Drosophila melanogaster: one gene and its partners. The protein of the gene in region 2 binds, or shares a complex with, the protein of the main gene of each other region. Each region holds a gene or a part of one and is shown on either strand. Other genes may lie near its edges.

The links. Proteins that work in one complex are often made in the same cells at the same time.
Region 1: Z600 (region 2) and CycA share a complex: the UniProt entries of both Drosophila melanogaster proteins name them as parts of the frs-CycA-Cdk1 complex.
Region 3: Z600 (region 2) and Cdk1 share a complex: the UniProt entries of both Drosophila melanogaster proteins name them as parts of the frs-CycA-Cdk1 complex.

The regions. Positions count from the first base shown.
Region 1 is NT_037436.4:11,825,688-11,836,165, forward strand, and holds CycA (cyclin A), read right to left. Parts: upstream 7,892-10,478; 5' UTR 7,382-7,891; coding exon 7,187-7,381; intron 6,560-7,186; coding exon 6,366-6,559; intron 6,296-6,365; coding exon 6,040-6,295; intron 5,158-6,039; exon of another isoform or gene 4,950-5,157; coding exon of another isoform or gene 3,930-4,949; intron 3,874-3,929; coding exon of another isoform or gene 3,748-3,873; exon of another isoform or gene 3,562-3,747; intron 3,503-3,561; exon of another isoform or gene 3,343-3,502; intron 2,998-3,342; coding exon 2,774-2,997; intron 2,706-2,773; coding exon 2,501-2,705; intron 2,431-2,500; coding exon 2,183-2,430; intron 2,119-2,182; coding exon 1,965-2,118; 3' UTR 1,396-1,964; downstream 1-1,395. Other genes in the region: CG7264 (uncharacterized protein), read left to right, coding at 3,748-3,873, 3,930-4,949; CG43064 (uncharacterized protein), read right to left, coding at 9,560-10,478. UniProt on the Drosophila melanogaster protein: Essential for the control of the cell cycle at the G2/M (mitosis) transition. Interacts with the Cdk1 and Cdk2 protein kinases to form MPF. G2/M cyclins accumulate steadily during G2 and are abruptly destroyed at mitosis.
Region 2 is NT_037436.4:15,505,952-15,511,353, reverse strand, and holds Z600 (Z600), read right to left. Parts: upstream 2,294-5,402; 5' UTR 2,231-2,293; coding exon 1,958-2,230; 3' UTR 1,841-1,957; downstream 1-1,840. Other genes in the region: MsrA (methionine sulfoxide reductase A), read right to left, coding at 185-235; gdl (gonadal), read right to left, coding at 606-749, 1,123-1,417, 1,473-1,618; gdl-ORF39, read right to left, coding at 1,686-1,805; CG7841 (uncharacterized protein), read left to right, coding at 3,504-3,555, 3,788-3,881, 5,009-5,127, 5,206-5,402. UniProt on the Drosophila melanogaster protein: Cell cycle regulator that is involved in modulating and adjusting cell proliferation according to the requirements of the developmental program. Interacts with mitotic Cdk1-cyclin complexes to inhibit mitotic entry at the G2/M transition.
Region 3 is NT_033779.5:10,382,348-10,389,227, forward strand, and holds Cdk1 (Cyclin-dependent kinase 1), read right to left. Parts: upstream 3,916-6,880; 5' UTR 3,831-3,915; coding exon 3,682-3,830; intron 3,297-3,681; coding exon 2,793-3,296; intron 2,736-2,792; coding exon 2,495-2,735; 3' UTR 2,392-2,494; downstream 1-2,391. Other genes in the region: CG5096 (uncharacterized protein), read left to right, coding at 1-100, 660-1,199, 1,267-1,454, 1,520-1,614, 1,678-1,790, 1,849-2,280; mRpS7 (mitochondrial ribosomal protein S7), read left to right, coding at 4,397-4,440, 4,515-5,127. UniProt on the Drosophila melanogaster protein: Plays a key role in the control of the eukaryotic cell cycle. Required for entry into S-phase and mitosis.

The DNA of each region.
Region 1 (10,478 bases), 3.7 Mb from region 2:
GTGATTTTTCTACACCAATCGTATAAGGGCAAAACATTTATAATCGATAGTTTTCTATCGATTATAAAGCAATCGCGGGCTTTGCATTCACTGTTATTCAGGCATTCATTGTTATCCTAAAACAGTTAATAAAAAGGAAAAGAAAAATTAACAATTTAAGGATTTTGTCTTATTTTATACTTCAATTATTGGGAACCAATATCTATTGATATCCCACAAAAATCATGAAATTTCGTTGCCTCCTTGCTGTTGTTGTTGCTGCTGCTGTTGTTGTTGTTTTGCGCTTTTTCCTAATCTCAGTATATATTGTTGTTCCAAACCCAGCAAGGCCGAATCCAACTCTTTCTTATACACCGTGCTCTGCAAGAAGCGAAAAGTCGCCCTCAGGCATTCCTGGAACGACGTAGCGGGGCTTATATGGTCCACTGGCAGGGGATTCGAGTCAATCGGTTGATTAATTGGGCTGCCTGGGGGCACCATGCTTATCTCTTCAAACGCAGCAGTCAGCTCATGCACCTCCACTGGGGAGCTCGCGCGTTGCCTAAATTCCGAGATATAAAATTCCCGTGCCTCGTAGAGTAAAAGGATACACATAATAGATTCCTTGAAAAGTAATCTATCTAAGAAGGAAGTGTTTCCGATAAAGTATATACATATATTATTGGTCAGGATCAATAGCCGAGTTGATCTAACCATGTCCACGTCGAGATCTCAGAAACTATAAGAGCTAGAAGGTTTTCTAATAATAATAATGACCACTCAGACTCCCTTACTTGTGGCACAGGTACGGAGCCAAAAACCGCATCTCCACCATTCTTTGCCAATCGGAGTCTCCCTTGGCCAGCTCCCGCATGTACTTGTGACGCAGCTATAAAAAATCAAATGGTTAGAGCGGCTATGGTTAATAATTCTTTCAAAAATGTAATGTATACAATTGAAATAACGAATATTACTTCTGGGTTTATTTATTTATTTTGTTTGACCCAACGACGTGACACACAAATAATGGTACAAGTACAACCACCTCTTTTGCTTGCATCTTTCAAAGTTTTATTGAATTCTTAATATTGGATATTTAGGTAATATTCGGCTGGCGAGCACAAAACACTCGATGCGATGGTCAATGGAATTATCAAACTAAATGGATTAGTTAGCATAAACCTAAGTGTAAAGTAAGACCCATCATCTGGCTGTACGCATTTCGGCAGCGCTCTATTCTAGCTACATATGTGGTCGCAAGATGGTCTAGACTAAGTTTAGTAAACATTTAGTAAGCGTATAAGATTACAAGATTACAAGAACAAGAGTTTAGCAACATTCCACGGCTGCCTGCCGTTCTGAGCACGATCAGTGTGAGTTTTTTATTCCGTCCTGGCTGGGCGGTTGGTGTCTTTTGTTAAAATTGTGTATATATTTGTTTTGGAGTTCACAGAACATTTACGGAGTAAATAGTAATATATAAATATGGTAAAATAATTCTCGAAGCTAGCTGTTTCTGCTTTAGACACATTGTATACGTTAGTATGGTTCAATTTATAAACACGAAAACATACATACTTAACATAAAGAGGTTGAAATATAAAATATCGTTAGCATAAGCAGCACTAATATGTTGTGTCCGGTGGCTTCCTCCAATTTCAATTGGCTAATCGGATAGTTTTTAAGACTGCCGAAGTTCTTACTGCTCCCGCTTGGCATGACAAGCTCTCACCGTGGACAGACGCGAATGTTGTTAAGCGCGTATATTTTGGCAACTATCTTTTATATGGCTTACATATAAAATTGTCCGGCACTTGCAACGGGAGCTTGTCAATCGGCCAACCAATGCGAAGCTTTTATACGACTGGCTGACTGCGACCGAACTGCAATTGATCCATTGTGTACACTTATAACTAAAACTACATAATGTTACATGGAAACACTAAACTAATATACAATTTGGCCATGACAGCGGCTCAAAACACTTAAAACTTATAAAACAAATTCACGTTCGATTTAGTATTAATATCCGGCTGCTGGTGCTCATCCTCTTTCTGCTTGCAATTGTAAGCCTCACAGAGCTGATCGAAGTCGTCCTTGCTCATCTCAACGGATTCCATCATAGCCACCTTCTTGTAACTGTTAAGAAATACATTTGGTCAACACGGGCTCATTCTTCGGCTATCTAGTGTTTGCGACTTACGTGTCTCTATTGTACTTTTCCCGCATGGCCTGCGTGTTGAGCTCCTTTGCCGTTTTGTGGGTGTGACACAGATGCAACACAACCGTTTTTAGGTCCTCCAGCTTGTAAGTCGTGATCTCCTCCAGCCTTGGCGTCCACATCTCCATGCCCAAAATGTGACGCGCCAGTGCGACTGAAGCGGATGACATAAGTGATGGCAAATATTGCAAGTACGTTTCTCCCTCCATGAGCGACAACTCGGAAATATACTGTGTCAGGTAAACATTAAGTTAAGTTTCGGCTTTGTTTCTTTTTTCTTTTGTATTGGCAATAGCTTACCAGCGTCATGTACTTCAGCTTCTCAGGCATGTCGCAAAGTACAGCATAGGTGTTGATGAAGACGTAAGCAGTCGGTGTGCACAGATCGAAGGAGAGAATCTTCAAGATAACCTGCTCCATGCGTAGCACCTGCGCCTTGGTGTAACTGTCGTCGGTGAGGAAGACAAACTCACCGACCTCTGGGGGATAGATTTCCTCGTATTTTCTGAAAAATAAAAAAATAAACCCCATGAATACACACACCATTATTACCGGACTATCAAGAATACTTACGCGGCAATATACATAGCTGCCGTGCCCACCAGCTGTAACTTGGAGCGCACCACCGCCATTTGGCTCAAAAATCGATCTAGATAAAAGACCGAGAGATAGAGCGTCTCCGTGTCCAGTTTGTACTCCTCGGAAACCTCAACCAGCCAATCAATAAGGATGGAGCGCATATTGTGGCTAATGTCCTTCTGTCTGCGCATATAGAGTGGCTTGGGGCGATGTTTCTTCTGGAAGATGCAAACACATGCAAACAAATGATTAGAAACCGATTAGATTACCCGGCCTAACAAAAATTACTAAGCCAAACTTTTAATACTTTAGGTTAGGATTCGCATATATATAGCTTATGCCTTTTCTACACTCTAATCTGGCAACCAACTACCCGTTCCCAGTTTCATCTTAAGAAGGTGTCAAAAATGTACAAATTTCACGGGAGAAAAAGCCGTACAGTCATCAAATCAAGCGTATAAATACCATAGGAGAAGTGGCAAACAACAGCTGGGGGAGGGAGTTAACCGATTTTTATTTATTTATTGGTTATTTCGTAGTACGTGAGTCGCATCGAAATTCCCAGTTCGAACTTAAATTTCTTTGCCAAACACCTACATATATGTACATATATATGGGCAATATGTACATTAGGTGATTATTTTATGGTCGCTTTAACGATTATTGGAACCGTCAAGCGACTCGAGCTGCAAAAATTAAAGAATTCGATTGACATGAATATATGTACATACATCAGCATTTGTTTTATATTAAGGCAGTTAACTCCCATGAAATTATTATAGATATATGTAAATAGTCTGTAACTAGTAGGTTACAGAGGTAGTAGTAGAGGCAAACAATAAACAAAGCACCCAGCAACCGGGCAAACAAAGTCAACTCAGGCATATATCCACATCCTACTAACAAGAAGAGACAGACATATCGACCTCGAATACAGTTGAACATCTTTTATAACTAACTCCGGCACAATGACGCTCAAAATCGGTATATGCACCAAGCAGGATCTCGACGAGGCGATGAAGCTGCAGAAGCGGGAGCAGTACGAAGATGAGCGGAAGCGGCGCATTTTTAATGCCAAACAGCGTCTTTACGGGGTAAGTATGCATCTGCAGACTGGGTGAGCTTCATTGCCGAATATTCCTATTCACAGCTCGACCTAGAAATGCTGGATCGCCAAATACTTGAGAAAAAGAAGCAGCGAACCGCCCAGATGGAGTGCGACAAGAAATTTGAAGAACAGGAGCAGCTGCAGAAGCGTCTGATCCTGGCCCAGGAAATGGAGTTGGAGAAAAAACAGCGTGTGGTGGACTCGGATCTTAACTATTATCGCTGCCGCTATCAGCGCAAGGAGCAGCGCCGCGAATTCGACCTAAATGATCCGAATTTCTTGAAGAAGGCACGTCCAACAAGAGTCGCCGACAATGACATTTCGCTGGGCGTGTCCAGTGCCCAGATCTTTCAAGGCGAGGACCTCTATAACTCTGACAGAAAGCAGCGGCAGCGGGAGCAGCAAAGAGCCTGGCTGGATCAGCAAGTGCAGGAGCGTAAGAGGGCGGAGGATGCTCGCAAGCAGGCCGATAATGTGTTGATGGACAACGTTGGTTGCAGAGACAAGCATCTGCAGGAGATGGCCAAGTCTGATCACCAGATGCGCAACCAAGTCATCCAGCGAGTGCGTCAGTTCAATATCAACATGGCCAAGCAGAAGCAATTGGACCGCGAAAGGGAAAAGCGTGAAAAGTACGAGGATGACATGGCCGAGATCTATAACATGCTCTCCAGCGATATGCTAACTGAAAATCCGGATGTGGCTCAATCGCGCACCGATCCGAACAAGAAGATTGCCTTCATGTATCGCGGCATGACGCCCGAAGAACTTCGCGTGTTTCGTCTTGGACAAGATCAGCAGCTTCGTTTGTCTATTCAGCGCAAGACGGAGGCCCAGATGATGGACAAACAGTGGGAGCAATACTCCATTAATATGGACCGCACCCTGGTCCTTCACCAAATCGAGGATGATCGCCGACGTAAGGCGGAATTCGATGAGCTGATGCGGGCGAATTCCAAGTTGGCCGTGGAGCAGGATCGCCAGCGCAAGGAAGCCCTTGTGGGCCTAACCAATGCCGTCTCCGATGACTTTTACGATCAGTTCAACAAGAACTCACGTTAGTGGGATTGTATTGAAGTTCCCAACCAAGACGATTCGAGAATAATGAGCTGGATGCGATTAGAAAGCTGCCTCACTTTCTTGTGCAGCAACTTTCCATAGGCGTCCAGAACATTGTACTATTTTAAAAATACAATCTTTGTTGGGAATCTTCACGACGAAATTATAATGTTCATGTTGGAAACAAAGCATTTCAAATATTTAAAAATTTAAAAAAAAAAAAAGACAAAAACCCATCTCTAGTAAAAACTGAAATATCAAGGGAAAATAAAGAATACGCCCATTCTGGACAAAACCTAATCCTTGTGTTGTTGTTTTGTATTATTTAATGTTGTTTTCGAGTTTTGTAATTTAACTATCGATTTTAAAATATTTTTAAATTTTTTTTATTTGTTTTGGTTTTCTAGTTTTTTAAATTCTTTATCAATTTTAAAACTTTTTTGGTTTTAATTTTTTTTTTAGTTTTTAAACTTATTTTAATTTTTAATCTTTTATTTACTAACGTAGGAAACAAACTACAATAGTAGTCAACCTCCCTCTGCAAGTCGAATTCCATTGGTACCCCGAGTGTTCTACGACTTTGGACGAATGAGAAAAAGAGAGTCAACAACAACGACAAAGGATGAGACGGACGCAGACAGACAAGCGTTTCGCTTCCCGCCCAACAAACATGTGCCCGCGAGCGGGAATAAGTGTACCCATGAACCCATAAAGAGGCAGCGTTGCGTGAAGGGAATGCCAACGGAGGGTGCGACAGGGTCCGACTTCCCCTAAGAAATTACGTCTGCCTGCGTCTGCACAGAAAAGTACAATGCACATGGCCAAGTAAGTAGTAACACATTGAAAACGCAAGATACCTTGGGAAAAAATTCCAAATTTATGCCAGAAAACATGACTGCAATACCCTGGAAGATAATCAAGGAAAACTCGACCTGATAAAAGTTGTCCACTTCAGTTACTAGTTAAAAAATATCATTGTCTTTGACAATGATTACGCGATGAAAGCGAGTTTGTGAGTTTGAAATATTTTTGTGAGGAAGTCATCTAATAATATCATATTGAAGCCTATGTTTATGTCCCTGGTTTAGCTTACCTCGCTCTCCCGGAAATATTCCAGAATGTCCATCTGGTACTGAACCACTTCCAGGAACCGCTGGCGATCGTTGCGCGGCGGAAGCTCCTTGACTCTTCCAGTTGGCGAGACTCCCGTTTCAGTGCCCACGCTGATATCACTGGACTGTATGACACCGAGAATGGAGCGGTCCACGGACATGGGGGACTGAACATCCGTCACGGACATGGGTGTTGAATCCAGATCGTAGTCTACCAGCTCCTTCTGCCCAGCACCGCTGAATGGAGTGAAAAAAAAAACAAACAAAAGTTTGTTTGCGGCTTACCAAGTGACAGATGGAAACTTACAATTTCACGTCATGGTTCTCTTTGTCGACTAGGGAGGCCAGGGATTTGCCGGATGGCGCAACCTGGGTATCGTTGTTGTCCTCATACACGGAGAAGGTCTTGAATTGCTCCACCACGGGCACCACATTCGATTTCTTGGCGCCGTACTCCACATTCTCATCAACATTAAGATTTCTGACGTCACGGAAGACCTGCTGGAAGGAACAGAAGACGAAGAAGACAAATTCAACAATATGGTCAACTTACTATATTAGGTAATAATTTTATATTAGGTAATATTGCAGTGGGATTATAAAAGTAAAAACACAAAGATAATTCCTTTTACATATGCATCCTTAATATAGTAAGCAAAAAAGAAATAAAATGATTATCCCCCCCCATAAATCGATCCAACTTTAAGTTGCGCGCCTTTCCCTGGCTTCCCGTATTGCTCGTGTGTGTGTGTATGTGTGCACCTATACGCATGTGTGCGTTGCATGTCGCAATTGCTTTTGCCCTCCTTGCTTCGCTTTGTTGTTGCAAATCATCAAAAAGGCGCGTAATTGCAAGGCCTGTGTCTTTTTCTAGGTTAGTTAAGGTTCTAGGTTAGGCGCAAGTAAGTGCATTGGTCGTTCTAAGAAGAGAGTAACGTAAGATGGAGAAGTGAAAAGGATGGGATGGTAGGGGAGAGGTAAGGGAGAGAAAACCACCACCACCACTAGGAGATCTCACACATGCGCACGGTCGCAGTGGTGTGACGATCCCACCACCATAAAAATATAAAAAGGCAGCTGCATTGGAATTAGGCACTGGATGTACGGGAAATCGGCAACGGTACTTACAACTTTCCCGGCCGGACGCGGCACATTGTTGTTGCCATTGAGCACGGCGAAATTGGCCCGCGGCGCAAGCGCATTTTTCTCCGCTTTTCCCCCAATTACGGCCAGCGGCTGCTTGGTGTTCTTCACTCCGGCCGGAATCTTAATGCCCGGATTCTCCTTGTTGCTCATGTCTTGGTGGATCTGGAAACTGGCCATGGTGCGCTCTTTCCTACTCCTTTTTTCGCCTTGTAAAATGGAGTCCGATTATGCTCTGCTCTTCCCTTCCTTCTCTCTTTCTCTTAGCGTCGTTGCCTTCTTGCTGTTGTTGTTACTGCTGCTGCCGTTGTTGTTGTTTTGTGCTGCTTTCTTATGCTCGACGCTCACACCGATACGCACACATTCACAGGCTCATATGCTCAACGAAGACGCAGACATGTGTACATTAGGCGCAGGCAAATTTTATCATCGACAAATTGACGCTTGAATTACACGCACACACACAGTTTTGTACAGAATTCATTTGACTTTCAATTTCGTACGGAAGTTTGTGTCACGGCAGCGTTGGAATTAGTTTCCTTGTTTGGCTACGCTCGCACGGACTTAGCTAATATTAAGTATTTTACAAACTCCGTACTTGTTCAGCGGTTCGTGGTTTAAAAGCAATTGCTGGCTTCTTTTGATTTTTTCCCGGTCAACACGTCGTAAATGTTAGAGATGACACTGTCCAGCTATCGATAGGTCGTGGCGTCTATCGACATTTGCCGACAGTGTGGCCATATATGTCAGAAGTTTGTTTTTTAGGACTGGCAACTCCAGCAGTGCGCAAAATTTAAAAATGTGTATAACGTTAATTTTTATTTTTGCCGAAGTCCATTGTTTTTGCATAGTTTTTAAAAATGAGTGCATATTTATTTAGTTCTAAGCTTTAGAGATCAAACCAATAATACATATTAAAGGTTTATAAAAAGGGTTTGGAATAAGTTCTTCATGGGTTTGTAAGCATTGTTTTGAAGTTAATCGAATATATATGTATTATATCCATATATATAATCCATATATTATGTCCACGGTAATCGCTTAAGTTGTTATTACTGTTGCTTTGATTAAGATTAAGAATTCACTGCAAAGCGAACTTGACAAAAATCAATTAAACAACTGTTTATCAAAATATAATTAAATAGAAAGCGTAATGTTTTTGATGAAATGTTTAAATAATCGACGTATTAGGACACTTGGAAAAATGTTTAGGTTACAATTAAAAAAAATGGCTAGGCTTTTGGACTTTCGGTCTCGAGTGGCTCCAAAAATCGTTTCTGTCCCAGAAATAAATCGAAACAGGAAAAAAAACTTTTCCCCTTTTCGAAAGTCCTTTCAAACAAAGTGGCCGCTCGAAGTTTTGAACAAATTATGAACTGCATGCAACAGAAAGTACACAATTAACAACAACCACCGCGTTAAATTTAAGAGCAGCAACTCTCTAATTAACTTTTTAAAGAGCTTTATTTCGGCTACTGCGATTATTATTATTTGGCTGTCAGTGGAAAACCCAAAAAAAGTTAAGCGAAACTTTTTCTTTTCAATACGCCTAACGATGCTACCCATTTATAAAAAATATGTTAGTGTAAATACAAAAGTATATATATTTATCAATTCGGATGACTTTCACGATTAGAAAGATATAACGAAATACGCCATACGTCTTCCCTATGAATTTCTAATGGGAGGGGCTGTGAGATATTTATAGAAAATACAAATATAACATTCATTATAATAAATAATAGGTGAATTTGTTAACAGTTATGGTAATTGTTTTGATTTCTAATCTTCTTAAAAAATATGTATCCTGATTTCTTAACCCTTTTAAGTTTAAGAATATAACAACATAACGTGGTGGCTTAAATATTTGTCATAACTATTAAATATGTATTGTTTTTGACTTAATTCAGCATTGTACATACATGTATGTATGTATGACTCTTGCCACGATTATTTTGTGAACGGAAGAGTATGTTTTCTAGAGCAGCTGCGCCTCCCTAAGAAAATAAAGAAAAGGTGTATCGGATTTTGCATTGTTTTGCACGAGACATTTCGCAACTGCCGGCCTAAAAACTAAATCAGTTAGGAACCCAAAGAAGTACGAACACAATGAGCTAACCAACATTCTGATCCTGCACACAAATGCTGACCTTTGCGATCTCGATGTCCTGGAGACCAGGTAGCAGGACAACCGACTAGCAGTTACACAATTGTATAATATCGTTGGCCCCAGCAGCTCTGGAAATATACATAAAATACCTTACAGGGTCAAATAATAATTACCAATATAGTAAGGCAATATTTGGCGAAAGTCAAACGTTTTTTTATTAACTAACAAAAAATGCTGTTCGTTTGTAATTAATCTAATTCATTAGTATCTTTGTTCATCAATATGGGACTCTTTAAATAGCCGTTAATGAACTGAATGTTCCTCTTGCCCTTCGGAACCGGAAGATTAAGGCTCCAATCAACAGATGATTCGTGCAAATAGATTTTAATTTTTCTGTGACTGTACAAACTTAAAGCTTTTAACACAAATTCAAAGGTGATTTCCCTGGCAAACCGGACACTAAGTACGTTTAAAAGAGCACATTCTTCCAGAAGCGCAAGCAACTCATCGTTGCTAACATATAACATTTTCACGTCCAAGATTTCTAAATGCTTTAGACGTAGAAAACTTCTTGCTGCATCTGTTTTGCATGAGACAAACAGCTCCCGAAGTGAAGATATCTCGCAGATAGCATCTACTTCTTCCAGTTTCAGGGTATTTCCCATCAAAATTAGACTTTCCAACGGAGTGCCCGGTTTTTGAATGAGTTTCTCGATGAAACTTTTCGAGATAAATTTATTGTCCCGATACCACAACTGCAAGTGTTTCAATTTGGGAAGCTGGTGGACAGTATCGTAGGGTACATTTCCTTCCAAAAGTATTAACGAAAAGGCGAGACTTTCCAGATTTTTTCCCCTTCTCACAATTACCCGAAAGTCTTCCGCTTCGAGATTGGCGGTGTTTTCACCCATGTTAAGGTGGCACAACTTCTTCATTGTCATACAGCACGAGGCCAAAATGCTCGCATCAAATCCACGCTGGTTGCCAATCTCCAGGTACTCCAATTTATCTAGGGCACGTAGTCCGTCGCCCGTGTAGGATGTCGCCTCCAATTTCAATTTCTTCAGGTGCGGCAAATCGCTTAGGCTGATTATAAAATCCTTATAAAGACCTTCATCCGTGAAGTGCAGGCTAGCATGTAACGATGTTAGACTCTTCAATTTCAAC
Region 2 (5,402 bases):
TTATTTATATTTGTACACTGTTTAAAGGTGTATTAAAGTCACGATTCGGCAAAAAAAAATTTAAAATATATTTCATTAGCTATCATAGCATTTTTTAATTTACATTTAAGCTCGAATTAAACCGCAGGACATTTGAAATCACTAGTCACAGGATTAGGCACCAATCACTAGACCAATTACTTACCAGATCCTTGAGCTCAGGATGAGTGACACTGGAAGTAATAGTCAGAGACATGATTTCACTAGTTAAAATTGTTATTTATTTAATGTGTCGCTTTTAACATTTAAAGCTGAACTGATGCATCTGCAGAAAGGTCGGTCCAATTTATACTGCCGCCTCTCCCGCTTTCTACGCGAATGTGGAGAGTGCCGCGCTATCGTTATCAATTCTCCCGCTCTTCAGTCTTCTGGCGGCCGGCCCCGTCTCTTTCTCCCTCTCCCGATTCTACGCTGATTAAAACTGCGCAGCGCTACAGGTTTCTTGGGGCCACAATTGATCGTACAGCTGGGACATTTGATCAGGGTTATAATTTAATTGCCTTTAATATTCTAATTTGAACAAGTCAAGTGCAGTCTTTTGTGTTCTCCGGATTGTGGACTAACTGTTATTTGCCGGGCTCGTATTTTAGCCGGCTCAAACGCAAAATGAAGTCCAACAGGAACATTTGTATTTTTATCTCCTTGGGATTCTCGGTGACATAGAAGCCGGGAACGCCGGCCTTTTGAAGTGTGGATTGTTGGTCATTAACCTGCGTAATGATATTAGATATTAGTTCAACATCAAGAAAAAACAAAGAAAGTTAAAGTAGTAAAATCTAATTTCGTATTCCCATATAAGCATTTAAAGTTATGATTAGAAATAATTTGTATTACAAAAGAAAATATCTTTAGTGATAATTTCATTTCAATTATAAGAATCTGCAGATAAATATATACCTAAAATATACCTAATCTATAGATCCATCCATAATCAAACTATGTATCATATTTGAATTTAATTTTAAATAGGATTAGGATTATCTAAGTTTGAGATTCGACTATTGTTTTTAAAGAAATTTGGATGGTAAGACCAACTAAAAGTGCGTGGAATGGAACGACTCAAAAGGATATTGAATTCTTCACCTTTTGATCTAGTATTTCGATAATCTTCGTATCCGACTCGTGTAGTTTCTTAGTGTGCTTTATTTTCATGAGTCCCAAAATGTGGCGCAACTCCTCGGGATCCTTGATCTTGCTCCTCCACTCGGCCACTTCTATTTCATACTCGTTCTCCGCCTGCATCCGTATTTTAATTAAGTGTCTTTCGGTTTCGTGTTGCAGCTCCATTAATGCTTTTACTATTACAAAAATGCCATCGTTTAGCACACAATTGGCGAGTTCGGTGAGTAGATCGTAGGAAATGCGTGTCTGCAAGTTTCTGTTAATCAAAAATGGCGTTAAATATTTAAATAAACTAAATATCAAGGACTTACTCGGGAAGTTCCGAATGGTAAGTTCGCAATTGGTCCACCAAAAAATAGATTTTGCGTTGTAAAAACTCCGGAGTTGGCTGCTGATACTCCACTACTGCCTCACTAGTGTTCGCACTACCTTCGCTGGTTGCCGGTATGTCCGCCATCTTAACTAAATTGTGATTTCCTATTTATTTACAATAATTTGTGTAATATTCCCAAGTATTTGTGTTTTTAGTGATGTTTTGTGCAACCGCACTCCAATTTCGCCTCTTCGCCGCACGAACAGCTGAGCGCCAGGGCTGCAAACTGCAGCAGCAGCAGTGTGACCACAATCAGTTTGGCTGCCCACATAACGGTAAGTCAGAGAAAGACGCGGAAAGTAAAATGTTTCAAAAGTATTTATATATATTTTTGTTGTATCAGAGCGTGAAAAGAATTGTGACTGTACGATTTGAAATCAATGATGCTTATGACTAAGGTGATTACATCGGTTCGTATTATGATTAGAAGTTCAAAGATTTGCGAGCCTTGATGAAATTCTTATCAGCCTCGTAAGTGTACATGCGATTCAGTTTGTTTTTGCGGCGCTTTTTGAGTTCGGTTTGGAACTTTCCGTGTCCTGAGCTGCTGGGGGTGGCTGGTACCAGGGAATACTTCTTGCTGTCCAGGGAGTAGCACTCGCGTTTTCCGAACTCATGCTGCTCCTTTGGGGTTTCCACGATTTTCAGGCTGTTCAGGCGCTGCAGCACTTGGTTGGTTTCATTTGTCGACGACATAATAACTGCTAGGCTGGCTGATCAGGAAGTTAATGTGAAGCTTGACGTTGCTGATTTGCTACTGATTTCCTTTTGCCCACGGCCTTCTTTATATCCACTTGAGTGTGCAATTTCAGGACTGCCATAAATATCTGCGCGGAAAATACAGCTTATCCGTTTTCCACATCTGTCACTTTTATGGTGCTACCTGCTCATAATTAAAATTTCCGCAGAAAATTCTCGCTAATCCCTTTTTAATGCGTTCAGAATTACGCGAGCAGGTAGTAATGGGTTTTAGTCTACCGCCATAAAGTCCGCCTTTTACAAATCGCAATAAATTAGAAAGGAATTCGTAACAATTTCCAAATTTGGTGTTTAAAGTGCATAACTTTTTAATGGAGTATATTAATTTCTTACTTTATAGATAATAATTCCTTAAAGATAATATAAAAATATAATTTATTGGATCTCCAAATGCTTTCAATTATATTGGATCTCTAAATGCTTTCAATAATCCAATCTTTTAAATGTAGCCTCTAATCAATTAATACGCTTTTAAAAAAACGCGCGCAGGTGAAAGAACCCACTGCCGTTTTAAAGTGTGTACATACTGGCGAAATCATATGGTGGGCATACACGTGTATCGGTTGTACAGTTTATGCGTTAATCGACTTCGCGAACTACGAAACCTAAAGCTGATTGCTATTATAAAATAAAGACTTTACTAAACAATTGATAGTGCCCATTATAGTTGAAAGCCTAAAGAAATAAACGCTTATCAAATAAAATCACTGCCGTGGGTTACTGCCATGAAGAAATTATGATCTGCTGAAAGTCGAGTTGTCTGCCGCATGAACGCCCTAACATACGGCTCTTTGCGGGTGTCTCTCTTAACATTTCGTTATGCGATTTGAATGGGGCAGTTGCATTGGAGCCTCGTCCGCCGAACACAGAACATTACAAACGCGTTTCCAGGAGTAATTGTCGGTGATTTTAATCGAAAACAATTGATACGAGCGCGGTGCGGCAGCCATCAAAATCAAAGAGTGCTAAATCGGAATCACTGCCCTAAGTGAAGTGTATTGTGTAACCTTTTGAGACGATGACAATAGGCCAAAAGGAGGCGGCGTGGGGCAGGCTGGGCTGCCAATGATCATATGATTGCCTAGAGCGGAAAAATACTCAAAATCATAGCAGTCGGCTAGGCATTTCGTTGCCAGAAACGAAAACAACAATACGTAAATCGAAAGGACAAGGTATATTTTCAGCCGGTACTCCCCATCTCCCCACCACCATGTACACAATCAACAAGGGACCTAGCAAAATTGTTGCTAAAACGCGTCGCGGTGAGTCCAAAATATTGATAGTAATAATGGTTAATAATGCCACAATAGACCCTTTCAAGAGAACAGCTGTTATGTCACAAAAACATACTCTTTTCCTTTCTCTCTCTCTCTCTCTCTATATATCTGCCTCTGCCTCTCTTGCTCTCTGGCTCTGTTAACTTTTTGTTTTGCCGGCGTTTTCCACAGTAAATGCGTATTTTATAGCTTTCCATGGCATGTTTTCCATCCGCAGGCCTGGCACCAAATTTTGAAAAATTCGAAAGCATCAAGGAGAGCGGCCGCAAGAACGCTAGTTTCGATCTGAACAGTCCCGAGGAGCACAAAAAGTAAGAATGCCATGCTCATATGTAACCATACCCAAATCTTGGGTGCTTATGCAAACGGATGGCACATGGTGAAATGTGGAAAGCGGGAAAAGTGACGGGGGAAAACGCGGACTGGGGTTCAAGACCCTCGTCTTATCGCACTGACATTTTATCGCAAGAATCCGTGGCGACCTAGCACAGTAATGCTAATTGCTCCCGAGCAAGTAGTCTTATTCTCGCTAGGGGAGACCCATTGGAAACACGTGGGTCAGGCGTCGGTTATCGGCTCCATTTTAATTTAAATGCCCATTGAGGCCATTGAGGCATTGACTTTTCCACGTCCGTTACGTCACGGCTCCAACGTAACTTCGCGGCAATGCTCGGCACAGGTTGTGCCAAAACAAGGCTGATTAATTTACTTATTTTACCTGGAAGGGTGTGGAGTTATTCCGAATGTCTAACTGCAATCGAAACATGTAACTTCAGAGTAGAGTACTTATAGGTAATTGAAGAGTGTATCTCATTTCTTGTTTATTTTTATGCCTTTTATATCAACTGTATTACGCTTGCTGTTAAAAGTATCTTATGGATGCGAGTTTTCTAGAATTTCCCATAGCCATTTCAGCTGAAATCTGAAAAGTTCTCTATATAAATATTAACTTTATAAACTCCCAATTGTATTTAATTTCTTGCGATTGCTTTTATTTTTAGAACTTCAAGATAAAAATTACCTAACCCTTTGCCGAAATACTATTATCTAAATTAATAAACCACAAATCCTTGTCAGTCAATGGGATGGCACTGTTTACTATCTGCCACTGTAGATAGCTTATCAGTACTCATTGCTCTTATGAGTATATATTGAGTTTGTAATTTTTTCATCGATATGTAATTTTAACATTTAAAAGCCAAAATAATGTAATCGACGAACTGCAGCGCCTTTCTCGAATTAAAATGCATTTAGCGTTCCTCGAACTGAGTAGCAAGCTGTCGAACCCAAGTTACCCCACCTCGTTCTCCAAGTGATTTATTTTCGTAGTCCACATGTTTGGTGGAATCTGTGTGGTTTGCATAAGTGCCTTTTCATTGAAATTCAAGAACATTGTTATTAAAATTGTATGCATATTTCCTGATTTTTAAAAAAACAGCATACCGCGTCCGGTGTTTCAACAGAGCTTCGCCACCAAGCGGATAACGCCAACCAAACTGATCGAGGATGAGGTGATAACGCCGCAACATGAGGAAATAATACGTTACATAAATGACTGTAAGTCGGAAATATGATTGTAAAGATGTACTTATAAGTATTTAATAAATGTGGTTTACTTTTGTTACTTTTTGGCAGCCTGGAACATGCTGGTGGCGCAGAATCCCTACGACTCGAGCTCATCCGCCAAGCCTGTTGAGAAACCTGTAGCGGATGCCAACAACAACAGCGCCGCCAGTCCAGTGGAAAGCATAATGGCCAACAGCCCAGTGCCCGCTGCCTCGACAGCCACTGTCTGGGTGGAGCCACCGAGTCCAGCGCTACAGGACTTCAAG
Region 3 (6,880 bases), on a different chromosome or scaffold from region 2:
AACAAAATCAGCTACGTTAGCTGCTGCGATTTTTTGTATCGTTTTGAGCCAAGTTTCTGGGCAGACGAAAGATGAAACCACCACAACCGAGACGCCAAAGGTACCACATAAAGTGTTTAATTTTTAATTTTCTGAAATTGGTGTGGGTGTGCGTATTACGAATGCAATTGTAAACTGAATAATAAAGCCGATTACATTACCAATGGAATTGATACATATAGTTAGATTTCAAATATCATTTGTGCAACTTAACTAAAAAGATATGTGCATACTGCTGTAAATTAGTGAACAGATTATGTTAAATTGTGTTAAATATTTGTGAAAGTAATAGAATGACTAAATTATATGTATCACTATCAAATTCGTGATAAGAAAAAGTCTTGCAAAGCTAAATCGATAAAGATGACTCAAAGAAAGACCGAAAAATTCACCACACAAAAAATTTAAAAAAAAATGAGAACAGTGTGTAATATAAATAAGTTGTTTAAAAATCGCAATAAAATTTAATTTAATTTCTATGTTTGTCGAAGGTAAAATTAACCATCTAAAAATTAACGAAACCGACATATTAAGACATGGCAAAGCTATGTCCAAGAAACATTTAACTATATGGTAATCATTAGTTATTTAGTTCGCTATATAATACACACTACTTGCAGGAAAAAATCAAAGTAATTGATAGCAAATTGTGTAAGAAGTGCAATTGCTATATCGACACCAATTTGCTGGATTGCTCCGAAAAACTGCAGGATTGGTTGTCCGCCGAGGACTGGGAGGATCTGACCAACGGCAATGTTGTGTTCAAAACAATCAATCTGGAGCACAACAATCTGACCAGCGTGCCAATTCTGCCGAAATACGATGTGGAGAACTTGTACTTGGCTAACAACCAAATCGATTCAATTTCCGTGGGAGCTTTTCAGAATTTAACCGAACTAGTCACACTCGATTTGTCGCATAACCGATTGACTTCGAAAGTTCTGGTACCGGATGTTTTTAAAGGACCCTTCACTGTCCAAGATTTTGAGTCATTGGAAAATCTAAAGACTCTTAACTTGGGATACAACGATCTGCATAGCTTGGATGCGGATCTGTTTGAACACATTCCCCACATTGAGGAACTCGTTCTCTGCTCAAATAGTTTTCATGTCATCGATCAACTTTCAGAAACAGCCATTTCCGGCTTACAATCGTTGAAGGTATGCGAAATTCATATGTTTTTATAATTCTACGAACTCAAAAGCTCGTTTATGTTGTTCGTTTTAGATCTTGGATGTCTCTTATATGGAAATCGATGACTTGCCGGATACAATTCTACATGGTCCCCGAGATCTTGAGATCTTTATAGCAGCTGGCAATCTGTTTAATCAATTGCCAAAGGCCCTGAAATATGCGACGAACTTGACCAGCCTGGTCTTAAACGAAAATCCCATCGAAAATTTGATTGGCGACAAGTAAGAGTCATTCTAGGATTCGTTTAAGTGTATGCGCAAAACAATATATTTATTAATTTTTTCAGTGTATTTCCACCTTTGACCAAATTGACCCACCTCAGCATGACTTTTATGTCCAAGTTGTACAAAATTGGGCCAGGAGCATTTAGTGAACTGCAAAGTAAGTTGTGAACCTGCGCGCACTAATGGCTAATGGCTTAATCGAACAACCATCTTTCTTTAGGTTTAACTGAACTGATATTGTCCGACAACAAACTGCTAAATGAAATTGATGAGGAGGCTCTATCCAAGAACGTAACTGGTGGCCAGTACTTGGACTACCCGCCATTGGAAAAGGTAATTCAAGTGCAAAAGCATGTAGAGCTTTAATCAACTAAATAACATAAACTTTTAGGTTTACTTGAATAATTGCAACGTGTCGACTTTGCCGAAAGAACTACTAGTGCGCTGGGATAAACTTAAGGCTCTGGATCTTAGATTCAACCCGTGGAATTGCGACGAATCCAATGACTTCTTGATCAACGTCTTGATAGATCGAATCAACAAGACCACGCCCGTTCTGGCCAAAGATGTCAAATGTGGCGGTCCGAACAAGTTAAACGATGTTACGCTGCTCAGAGTGGCGAATGAACATATGATAGAAAGTTCGACGGGCAGTCTTATATGGGTTGGACTCTTGGTTGTCCTGCTCATCGCGGTGCCGACCATCATTGGTGCTTACGTGATGAAGAGGCGCGGCTGCTTTGGCGTCTTTAGACGTCATGACAGCGGTGCTAGCAGTGCTCTCTATAATAGGACTAGTTTCAACGAGGATTTCCATATTTAACTTTCTTTTTGTATAATAATTAAAGCCTTGAAGCCTTATTATTCTGTTAGAGCGCTGGTAATTTGGCGTAAATCTGTAAATACACTTACATAAATTAAGTAAACGTTGATTGTTTTACACCCTTAGTTTTATTTACGGCTATTTTGCTTTAGATTAGATACCAAGATCTCTTGTTTTAAAATTCTTAGTTAAAGTCAAACGAGAATACCGAACGTTAATTTCGAACTAAGCCCGATTGAAAACCATTGAAATAGGGATGCTCCAAAATGTCCTTGGCGGAAATGCGATGAACTGGATCGTAGATTAACATCTTTTGTATGAGATCAATACCATTCGCATCGAGATTCTTTAACTGATTGGTCAATTGGTTCGTGGACCAGCAGGGGAACGTGTTCTTATAGTCGGGTAGCGAAGTAACGCCCGGCCAAATGTCTTCGGTAGGTGTTTTCAGAATTCTGCAATCAATGAGTGTGAGTATCACAGGGAATAGAAAGTAAATTACCTGTGGTTACCTAAACATTCTAAACAACTGGTCAATTTCCGAGTCACCCTGGAATAGCGGCTTTCTCGTTGCCATCTCCGCGAATATGCATCCAATGGACCAGATATCGACGGGACAGGAATACCGGGGTGAACCCAGTAGCACCTCCGGCGCTCTGTACCACAAGGTAACAATCTCGTGCGTATAAATGCGCACCGGAATGCCAAAGGATCGGCCAAGTCCAAAGTCGGCGACTTTTATGAGGCCACTCTTGTCGATTAGTAAGTTCTGCGGCTTAAGATCACGGTGAAGTACTCGCCGACGATGGCAGAAAAGAATGGCGCTAGTTATTTGGTACAAATAGCTACGGACCAATTCACTCTCCATGTGCTTATCAACTGGCAGCGAATCCATGTATTTCTTGAGGTCCATCGATAGGAATTCAAAGATCAAGTATATGCGGTTCTCCTCCATCAAAACATCCTCCAAACAGACAATGTTTTCATGTTTCAACTCCTTAAGCAACGAAATTTCTCTGTAATGGATATTAAATATTACTACATTATAGAAAAAACATGTGATTAAAGTATTTTAGTTATTGGTCTATCAGTTGAACCAGAAAGTATTCGCAGGCTTCCAATTAATAAACATAAATAGAAAGTATGATGATGTACACATGAGCATAAGTACGCATATAGGATTGTACATACACACACATATGTATGATGAACATAAGCCGTAACATAATTATGCTAGACTTCCACAGTATAAATTAAAAACAATATTGCAAAATCTTCAAACCAACCCATAAGATGTCAAGGAACATACTTTCAATTAAGCATATAAGCCATTTGAATGGAAAAGTCGCGAAAGAACATGAAACATTTTGAGGCTTGGGCGTCCAAGCCGCGGCATTTTACCTGATCGCGGTTGATGGAACGCCTTCGTCGTCGGACTCCAAGCGGATTTTCTTCATTGCCACAATTTGGCCCGTCAGGCGGTTGCGACCCTTATACACCACGCCATATGTGCCCTCGCCAATCTTCTCAATTTTCTCAAAATCCTCCATAATTTATTAAGCTATTTCTTTGCAAGCCACCGACTTTTAAATTAGCGCGTTTTTGACGTATATGCTCTAGTATTACCAGACAGTTTAAACGATGCTAAGCTAGCTACATTTATTCATTTGGAATGTGGGAATGAAACTCAATATTCAGGCAACTTATTGAATTGCTGTATCTTAAAAATGTTGTTAATTTTTTTAAAGTTAATTTTAGTGTACTGTAAAATTCCACGCTTTTTTTTATAGTGATTTCAATTAATTAAGACATCACTTTGTTTGAGTTCGGAGACAAACGTTTCTGCTAATATACTATTAATTAACTTATGAGTTTTTGGTGCAATTAATTTCTATTTTATATCTTTTGAAGGTGAGTACCAGTAGTACGGTACTAAAGAAATTAATTTAAAAAATGTAATTGGAATACCGCAACTGTTTTACTTCATTTTTGTTGTTTCAAAATTACTAAGCTCTTTGTCGATATCTTGACACACCTATATGCATGCCGCAAATGTGCATAACATATATATAACATAGTTTTTTTATTTTTTGCCGACACAGCAGACGATGTAAACATGTCGCTTTTAGGTAGGATTGCAGAGAAAACTTCAAGGCTCAGGTAAGTTAAACTTCTCTAAAGTGTTACTTATCTCTAAAAACACAAATGACTGATCACCCATTTGTTTATTGTAGCTGCCTTCGATTGATGTCGGTGTATCCCACACACTATGTCGAACCAATTGTACAAAAATATAAACAACTAGAGCAAAAGAATGATCTGTCCAAGCTTTACCATGTGCCCATCAAGGCGGCGGTCAACAAATCGTCTGATACCATCTTTCACGACGATACAAAACATAAAATGATCAATTATATAACGAAAAAGGGGAACAGTGCCTTGGCCAGAACGCTTTTGTCCAAGACGCTGGAGCTAATAAAACGAACCCAGACGGAGCACATGAATCTGGCCAAAGGGGAGAAGACAACCATAAACACCAATCCCGAAACGCTTCTGAAACAAGCGGTTGAAAACTGCCGACCGCTCCTTCAAGTGACCGCCATAAAACGTGGTGGTGTCACCTATCAAGTCCCTGTTCCCATCACCACGAAGCGGTCATATTTTCTGGCCATGAAGTGGCTCTTGGAAGCTGCCCGCGAGAAGGAGCGTAAGGTGTCCCTGCCGGAAAAGTTGGCCTGGGAGATTCTCGACGCAGCCCATGGCCAGGGAAGGGTCATCAAGCGAAAGGACGATCTGCACAGGCTGTGCGAAAGCAACCGCGCCTACGCACATTACCGATGGAGCTAAATGCACAACAAACTGTTTTTCCAATGCAATAAACTTTTCATATACCTGTTAATATCTATGATTAGGATTTGTGTCCGGGGAATGTCTTAAGAGAGCGGAATATCGAAATAATTCCTGGATTTATGGGGACTAAAAACGAGGACCTTAGTAAAATTGTATGAAGCTATGATACCATTATAAAAACACATTTCTAATATTTTTTCTTTATTTTTCCTTATACGTTGTTTATAGTAGATTTGAAAATTGGATTTTCCAAATGGTGTTATAGCTATTGAAACCCAAAGTTTTTCTTATTACACTTATACTAAGTTTTTATATAAATTTCTTCAACCCATTTACCTGGTTCGTCGTGTTTTAAGCTTCTGAATTTAATTTAAAATTATAGCACAGCTTAATAACAGAGTCTACTCTTTTTAGAATTTTTCTATTTAATTTCAGTATAAAATGCAATTTTATACAAATAAATTATCCTGATTGTCTCAAAAACATATTTTTTCAAGTGCAAAGTTAAAAAATGTAACCTGTTTATCGCGCAACGACAACGGTGTAAACAGTGCGTTAAGGTTGTCGAGGTGTACGTCTATCGAAGGGACTATCGATTCTTATCGAATCGCAACGCTACAGATGACGCACGAAGAGAACAAAGATGGCGATCCCGAGCACACGAAAATTAAAACGAGCTGAATGATAAATAAAGAATTTTTTACCTATAGTTGAAATTCGCATAAGCGCAGTGAACTAAAATAGTTAATAGAAGTGTCATGCATATTTGCAATGTGTAAACGAAGAGTTTATCGCAAAACGGTTTACTTTAGCTGTGCATTTTGATATAATCCCAAAACACATAATCGTACTACTAGTTGAAGTCGACTGGACGACATTACAAAAAAAAAAGTTGGGTAAACTTATCAAACTGTTGTTGAAAACACAAGGATTCTCGGTATTAATACGAAAGAGATATGTATATGTAATACATACGCTGCTGGTGGCTCAACGTCAACACTCGCTGCAACAAAAGGAATTGCATACATAGAATTAACAGTGGATATTAGGGTGAGTACTTTTCACGAAATGTATTTTATTTCGGTGCAGGGTATGTTTTCTAGCCGTTCGATTACACTTTTTATGCTGCCCATGGATCTGCATACGTTTATTTGTTGAATGTGTGTATATACCCGTGCGTATACAGCCTTATGTACGAATTAATTCCTCTTAAATGTATGTGGATACCATTTTCATGATTCTGCATACATACACATGTATGTATGTATATGTATATACGAATGCTCGTAAACAAAGTAACTACTTATGTACAAACGAGTAAATGGGTGTAAGAGCGTATGAATTAACTTTATTCTCCAAGTGCGTGTGCTTGTGTGTGTGTGTGTGCGTGTGCATTTGTTCGTTTGGGAAGTTATTTTAAGTTTTATTTTCGTGCAACAAACTCACGGTTTTCATATACCATGTACGTGTATATTTAATGTAAGTATCATGTACATGTGTTCATGGAAAATGTTGTGAATCAGGTGTAGAAACATTTCAAGAATCGGTATTGTGTTAGTTTGTTAAATAGATTAATATCATTAATGATTATAGCATTAAAAGGCTCCGTGAGTTTTAAACAATTTGTTAATTTTTAATGTTTAATCTTTGGAAAAAATTAGGCATTTAAACTAATGAATTGAACTAATTATTATTGTTATCTGTAAGGTTAGCATAAGAAGTTAAGTATTTGTTTGACTAGGAATTCTGA